Xenopus tropicalis: one gene and its partner. The protein of the gene in region 1 purifies or fractionates together with the protein of each later gene. This does not show direct contact. Links are inferred from orthologs where the notes say so. Each region holds a gene or a part of one and is shown on either strand. Other genes may lie near its edges.

Region 1 (4,226 bases):
ACTAACTAATTATTGATTGAGAAAAGGAAACATGTTTTGCATAGCTTTTCTTCCTGAGTTAAATAATGGCATTCTCTTGGCCGAGAGGCACTTTGCTTGGTAAAGCAGGCACGTGTGGTATCCCTGGTATAACACTTATGCATAGAAATAAGGCTCCCTGTGCAGAATAAATGACTTTGGGGGTTTTCAGTACACATTAATAGGAAAATGATATCCTTTCTCAGATATGGTGTATTGCTCCTTTCAGAGGGAGAACCAACAAATGTACAGTAAATGCATGTATCTGGATTACATGAAGGCTCATGTGGGAAGAGAAGAAGAGATATATATATATTTATGTTTGTCACCGCTGCTCTATTTTAGACATTTTAAAGATTATTATTGGGCTCATGTTCATAACTGTGGATTATCTATTTAAATGCAGTGACACCATGAGGAACCTGGGTATGTAAGAATTTGCACCTACTATTGGGGCATCCCACACAGGCTGCTTCTTTACAACAACTGACCAATTGGCAAAGAGAAAGATGTGGTATAAGATTTTTTTTACCCCTGGAAATTCTTGCTCTTCCCCCAGAATTGCAGAGTCTTTATGTATCTTTATGTATACAATACAAACTGTATATTATACTCAAGGGAAGTAAGAACAATTGAGTGTAATTAGTGAAATTAAAACTCCATTATTTTCAGTGTGTACATTTGGGCTGTAGTTAAAGTAGTGGTTCACCTTTATTTTAACTTTTATTTTGGTATAGAATGGCCAATTCTAAGTGACCTTTCAATTGGTCTTCATTATTTGTTATAGTTTTTGAATTATTTGTCACCATCTTTCAACTCTTTGCAGTTTTTAAATGGGGGTCACTGAAAAAACTATTGCTCTGTGAGGCTCCAGTTTTATGGTTATTGTTACTTGTAACTTTCTTTTCTATTCAGTCCCTCTTTTATTCATCCAAACCACCCCCTGGTTGCTAAGGTAACTTGGACCCTAGCAACCAAAATAGCTGCTGAAACGCCAAACTGGAGAGCTACTGAACTGCGCCTAATGATGCAGGCAGGACCTCGAACCTACCATCAACTCCTGACTGTAATGTAGCTCCAGGGTTCCCTTTGTGCCCAGCGTCAATAGGCACATTTAATTTACACACAAAAAATCGAGCGCAAGTGTCACTCACATGTGGAACACAGGAATGGCAGCAGGCAGACTTCCTTGTGATTGCATCTACTCTGTGACAAAATGCACACATAGTTGCGTTCATTTTGGTGAATCTGGCGCAATTGCACCCTTGGGGACTACATTGGCATTGGAATTCTGGGGCAAAAAACCTGTGCTGTGGGGAGAAAAACCATGGCAATTGCACTTTGAAAACTGCACTCACAGTTGTAAACGAGCCCTGTACTCTTTGGATCAAATTAAGCATAAATCCTTTGCTACCTCCTTAGTTACTAGCAGTCATAGTAATGCCTTCCCATTGTCCTGTACAATCCCCCACCCCCAGGAGCCCACTATCAACCCTGGCAGTGGGTATTCAAGAGCCCAAAGATTAAGCTGCTCCCTGTCATTGCCTACTGGCCATTACCCCCATTACTGTGGGACCCTGTAAGCTGCTCACATGTTATTTATATTGTGCCACTCACAATATTTGCAGCATTTGGGAACTGTTCCCTCACACTCAACCTGCTCATCAAGATCTTATATACCTGTTTAGCCCTGCCTTTATGAGTAGATTGAATAAACCTGTTACATACTAGCAGCTGCTTCTGTTAGATATTAGCTCCTAAGGAATGACACTTCCATGTAATTTTGCCCTGGCCAGTAGAGTTCAGCCGAAGGGGTGTGCCATGGCCCTTATGGCAGCTTGAAATCATTTAAAGGAAAAATAAACCCTAAAAATGAATATGGCACAAGATTCGGGGCTACTGGAGGCATCTAATGAGGCACAGATTGTCACTTGGGCTGTACAAAAGCTTTGTTGTCATATTCTTTTCTCCCATCAGAGAACATAAATGTATTTGCAAATAATACTTCACTCTTGCTATTCATTTTGTCCCGTGTGTAATGGTTGTGTGTGTGTGTGTGTGTGTATATATATATAAATATATATATATATATAATTCCCTCTATGTTCCCAATCTTTTGCTGTTTCTCCTATAATAGAATAGCATTGAACATAATTAGAACCAATTTTGATTTTATAAAGGTTGAGATAAAATACAATTTATGTGTTACATTTATTTATGTTCTCCCTTCTGTGTTTTATCATCTTGATTTCATTCTGTACTGACAAATCCTATGGTACCTATCGGTTTCATAAGAGGAAGGAAGGCAAAATGATGTGTGTGGCTCATAAAAACTGAAGGAAATGAATTTCGTACTTGAAATACAGGTTTTCCCAGGACTGCAATTTTAGCAGCTTCTGAATTGAAAAATGACTGATGCAGAAAAGAAAATTAACATAATCTTTCTGTGCAATGAAATCCTGCTAGCTCTGTTTAATGAAAATCCAATGTGACTAATAACCATTAAAGAGGGCTTCATTTTTCCCATCATGCTCCTCAAGACTGTATATTTATTCAATGGAAAACAACTTTCTATCAGGTAGAGGAGTTGTTTCCAGTTAGATGTAGTTCTGGCACTGGGAGCAGCTAGGGGGGCGCCTTCAAAATGTCGTACATTAAACTCACACTCGCTTAGGGAATTCTTAAACTCTACTCATGTCCTGAGTCCGTATTCAGACACACTAACCCCATAGTAGTCAGTGAGATCAGTAATAAAGCTAATAATCTCTCAAAAGAGAGAGGCTGCATCTTGCCAGATGGTCTCAGATATTTCCATTTATCTGACTAGTTAAACAGTCCCTATAGCTCCATGTTTTATCTTCCTTTTCCTTACAACATGTAAAATCTCTATTTTATGCTTTTCTCTGTTTTGTTGTTTAAACATTGATTTTTTGCAATGTTCAACTGCCGTTATGTCTTAGGGTCCTTCCTTATTACACCCATTGCCCTCCTGCAGTGTTACATGCCTCTGACGAGACCAGAGGAATGGCTTAGCGCTTCAGCAGGAGGGGGGGCATTAAGGCTTTTATGAGTTTATACCTCACACCTCATAGTGTGAAAGGACAAGTTAGATTTGGCATTGACAGTCACCTTTTCTTTTACAGATGGAGTCAGGAGGAACCGTGCTGAGCACCAACTGGACAGATGTGGGCAAGAAGAAAGTAGACGTAAATCCCCCAGATGATATGGAATGGAAACAATACTAGTTATCCTGCTGCAGTCCGTACGTTTATTGAAGCAGTCTGATGCACAACAAGCTGATGAGACATCACTCCTTACCTTTTGCGCCCTTTCTTTTCCCAGAATGCTAATTGTTTGCTGCTTCCATTAAATGTTGCACAAAGTGAATGAAATGACAAGCGAGCCTAATCCTTTATTCCTGTTTTGTTAGGAGCCAGCCCTGTAGTATGTATATAGTGATTTCTGATGCACATTCACTCAGATAACTTATTGGCCGGAGGTGCAGCTCTCCTGTCAGCTTGTTGGAAATCTTTCTCACTGACCCACTCTTGGCCTTTTTATCAACTGCAAATTATAAATATACTTTTTCAATGATTTGTTGGTGCTTTATTGATACAAAGGTGCTGAAGATGCTGCCTGCACTCTGTCGCACACATGTGGGGTTAGAGGCGTATGTGTTAGTAATGTGAATGGCTGTTGTGTTTCATTTGCTTGTCCTGCTGGAGGCACGATGGCTGGCTGACGTGACTGCAATTATTCACCATAGGAGAGGCACAGTCCCTATACATCCTTTGTTTGTCAGAGAATACGCTAATGTTGATGAAAAGACCAACCAAATGCTGCCACCAACAAAGTATTACAATCTATGGCAGTATTCTGGTCATTGTGCAAGATCATGCTCTGGGCAAGCTGACGCCATTTAGATGTTTTTGAATACTCTGTTTAGATTAGGGCCAATAGTTCAGTAACATGTCAAGGACTAATTGGTTCCCATACTTATATAATTAGCTACTATTTAAATGCTCACCATGATATTTCATAAACTAAAATAAGCAGGGGCTAGTTAGACAGTAATAGTAGGGCAAGCACAAGATAAGGCCCAATAGCACATTATTAGTAAACCCCACTTCTATGTAAGGCCCTACCTGCCAGTTAAATAGCATATTATCAGTAAGCCCAGTTTTAAAAGCACAAGCCTAGTGCACACT
Region 2 (3,826 bases), about 5.3 Mb from region 1:
CTCTACGTGTGTCTTAGCAGAGGCAATTCTCAGTATTGTCAAGGTACTTTCTGGAGTTTAGTAGCTATGACAAGTAGCTGCTACTAGTAGCTCAGTGTGTCTTCACCCTTAAACACCATGTAACCTGAAACTAAAGCCACTATGAAACAAGACCATTTAAGTAAGGCGGATAAACCAGATATAGAAGATTATGGGCCTTTTGTCTCTGACCACACAGTCACAACCAGGGTCTTTTTTTAACTAAACCTAGACAGCTTTGTGGCATTCAATTTGCCAATATTTCAAACATTATGGCATATGAAGGGTTACTATGTTAGTTAGGTAATATGAAAGCCTAAACTGTGCATTTAATACTATAAAACTTACTCAAGGATTTCATTGTACTCTATAGTCTCTTCTAGGTTCTGTAGGTTTGGATTGGCGCTTCGGATGGCTCTCATATAGGCTTTCAGCAACTGGATATCCCTTTTCTGTGGATGTTAAAGAGGCACACATGGACACATTTGGTCAAAATAAAAAATAATTTATTTTATTTAACTTTAGGTATAACAAGGTTTTTATGCCTTTTTTAATATGGTTAAAAACAAAATCTGACAAAATACAGAAATGGTATGAATTAAAGTAAATCAAAATAAACAATACAAATGCTCAGCATGCTTTAATAGATAAGGACACTAAATATTTTCCATTACAATGTTGCTTAGTAATAAGGAAAGAAGTTGTCCTTGGCCAGAAGAGTGGCCTGTTTCTATAGCTGTGGAACTGTTCAAAATTGGGGGCAGATGAATGCAGAGAGAAAAACTTGGCTTGATCAATGGTCTTGAACTAAAACTGCTTTCTTCCACAGCTCTGTGTATCTGCAATGACAAGTACAGCTTCTGCCTGAGTGCAGGTACACAGAATGGAGATCAGCCCAAAAATGCCTGCATTCCCATTTTTCAGTCCAAACTCCGTTCTGCTCGGTGTACCTGTACTCAGACAGAAGCTGTGCCTGTCAGTGCAGATACATGGAGATGTGGAAGGGAATGGATCCTCTTTTCTCAGCCTGAGAGCAGCGTAGCCAATGCTCTGTGTGTCCTAGCCCTTAAAATTGTATACAAAATGAATGCAAAGACATTACCTGTTCAGAGAGCTGGTGCTTGCTCTCAGCAGCTGCTTTTTCCAGCTCCCCTATCCGTATCTGCTGTTGCTGCACCACAGAGCGCAGGTGTTTTATGCAGTTGTGGTTTGGTAGTTCATCTTTGGGCATTTCCAGTCTGGAAGATAGAATGATATACACAAACATTATTTAAACTGTCTGTAAATATCTGGCTGCCACCTGCTAAAAGTTCAAGCCCATAAGCAGCCTTTGCTATTTACTGCATCATTGGATGTTGCTACAAGCATCACTGAAGCACTGTGGCAGCATTCTGTTGTCCCCCAGCCAAGACTCCAATTTCCACAATGCCATTCTCTCTGATTAAAGGCCTGTAAAGAAGTAAAATGGCAGGGAAATGGAAGTCAACACTGCTGGACCTGAATACCTGTATCATTGAAACAGAAACCCAATATATCTTACCACTGTCACTCCCTTTGTAATTGAGTTTGAAATTAAAACCTAAAAGGTAGAAACTTTCTAATGTAAAGTTTGTATCTATATTGGGGTTTTAACCAAAACTTGCCTCAAAGACAGGAATTCAAAAATAAGCACCTGCTTTGTGGTCACTGGGAGAAGAGAATTGCACCACATACAAAGTTGCCACCTGCTCGTTAAATAAATAATAGAAATTAGAGATAAATAATTAAAATAAGCTGAAGTCACCTACTAAAAAAAAAAACAATGAGAGGATGTGTAGATTAGATGTAAAAGGTGGCTGCTCTGTTTTGTAATGGAAGTTCACCAGCCTGAACCCAGGGAGATTTCTCCAAAAAATCATTTTTGTACTCTAAATAAAGAAATTTTGCATGTGGAAAGATGAAAATTATCTTTGCTCTGAGTAAAGGTTTACACCAATGTAAAGGTAATTTACCAGTACTTCTTCTATTCACCTTTTAGTATACTGCTGATGTTATAGTAAATATTCATTTTTGGAGATAATACGCCAAATTTTAATAAAATATATATATATTTATTTATCTATTTATTTATTCCCTTTGTGTGTATTGGAACAGAACAAAAAAGGGAGGGAAAAAAAAGCAAATTGGACATAATGTCACACAAAACTCCAAAAATGGGCTGGACAAAATTATTGGCACCCTTTCAAAATTGTGGATAAATAAGATTGTTTCAAACATGTGATGCTCCTTTAAACTCACCTGGGAATAGTAACAGGTGTGGGCAATATAAAAATCACACCTGAAAACAGATAAAAAGAAGAGAAGTTGACTTAATCTTTGCATTGTGTGTCTGTGTGTGCCACACTAAGCATGGACAACAGAAAGAGGAGAAGAAAACTGTCTTGAGAACCAAAATTGTGGGAAAATATCAACAATCTCAAGGTTACAAAGTCCATCTCCAGAGATCTAGATTTGCCTTTGTCCACAGTGTGCAACATTATCAAGAAGTTTGCAACCCATGGCACTGTAGCTAATCTTCCTGGACGAGGACAGAAGAGAAAAATTGATGAAAGTTTGCAACGCAGGATAGTCGGGATGGTGGATAAGCAGCCCCAAACAAGTTCCGAAGAAATTCAAGCTGTCCTGCAGGCTCAGGGGGCATCAGTGTCAGCGCAAGCTATCAGTCGACATTTAAATGAAATGAAACGCTATGAGACATAAAAAAAGCAAGACTACAGTTTGCCAAAAAGTATTTCAATAAGCCACAATCCTTCTGGGAAAACGTCTTGTGGACAGATAAGACCAAGATAGAGCTTTTTGGTAAAGCACATCACCATCAATATGGTGGAGGTTCAATGATGTTTTGGGGTTGTTTTGCTGCCTCTGGCACTGGGTGCCTTGAATGTGTGCAAGGCATCATGAAATCTGAGGATTTCCAAAGGATTTTGGGTCGCACTGTAGAGCCCAGTGTCAGAAAGCTGGGTTTGCATATGTCAAAAAGCACCCAGAAATGGATGGCAACAAAGCACTGGAGAGTTCTGAAGTGGCCAGCAATGAGTCCAGATCTAAATCCCATTGAACATTTATGGAGAGATCTTAAAATTGCTGTTGGGAAAAGGCGCCCTTCCAATAAGAGAGAACTGGAGCAGTTTGCAAAGGAAGAGTGGTCCAAAATTCCCATTGAGAGGTGCAAGAAGCTTATTGATGGTTATAGGAAGCTACTGATTTCAGTTATTTTTTCCAAAGGGTGTGCAACCAAATATTAAGTTAAGGGTGCCAATAATTTTGTCCAGCCCATTTTTGGAGTTTTTTGTGACATTATGTCTAATTTGCTTTTTTACCTCCCTTTTTTGTTCTGTTCCAATACACACAAAGGCAATAAACATGTGTATAGCAAAACATGTGTTACTGCAATACTTTTCAGTGAGAAATACTTGATTTTCTGGAAAAACTTCTGGGGTGCCAACAATTTTGGCCATATATATTATATATATGCATATGCAATAGAATATAACTACTTACCCACAACCCTGCTCACATGTCACCGGTCGCTTTGGATTATGTTCACAGTCACTAAGGTGAGACATGAGGTTGTCAAGTCGCACAATGGTGGTACAGCCAAAAACTGCGTTGTCACATGTAATTTGCAACTTTGATAGCATATTCCGCATGATGCGGGGAACTGGTCGTAAATGGGCGACAGTCACAACACTGCGGTCGACAGGACAGGTTTGTTGCTGAGAGAACCACTGGGTAATGCAAGCATTGCAGAATGCGTGCTCGCAGTGAG

What was found.
Region 2: the proteins of sugt1 (region 1) and rnf41 purify together in Homo sapiens (affinity purification with mass spectrometry; 3 studies listed by BioGRID and IntAct, with this or other methods). This does not show direct contact. The link is inferred for Xenopus tropicalis from reciprocal best matches to the Homo sapiens genes SUGT1 and RNF41.

Annotation. Positions count from the first base shown.
Region 1 is NC_030678.2:132,190,695-132,194,920, reverse strand, and holds the end of sugt1 (protein SGT1 homolog), read left to right. Parts: intron 1-3,161; coding exon 3,162-3,263; 3' UTR 3,264-3,612; downstream 3,613-4,226. UniProt on the Homo sapiens protein: May play a role in ubiquitination and subsequent proteasomal degradation of target proteins.
Region 2 is NC_030678.2:137,453,725-137,457,550, reverse strand, and holds part of rnf41 (E3 ubiquitin-protein ligase NRDP1), read right to left. Parts: coding exon 3,559-3,826; intron 1,257-3,558; coding exon 1,121-1,256; intron 471-1,120; coding exon 367-470; intron 1-366. UniProt on the Homo sapiens protein: Acts as E3 ubiquitin-protein ligase and regulates the degradation of target proteins. Polyubiquitinates MYD88. Negatively regulates MYD88-dependent production of pro-inflammatory cytokines.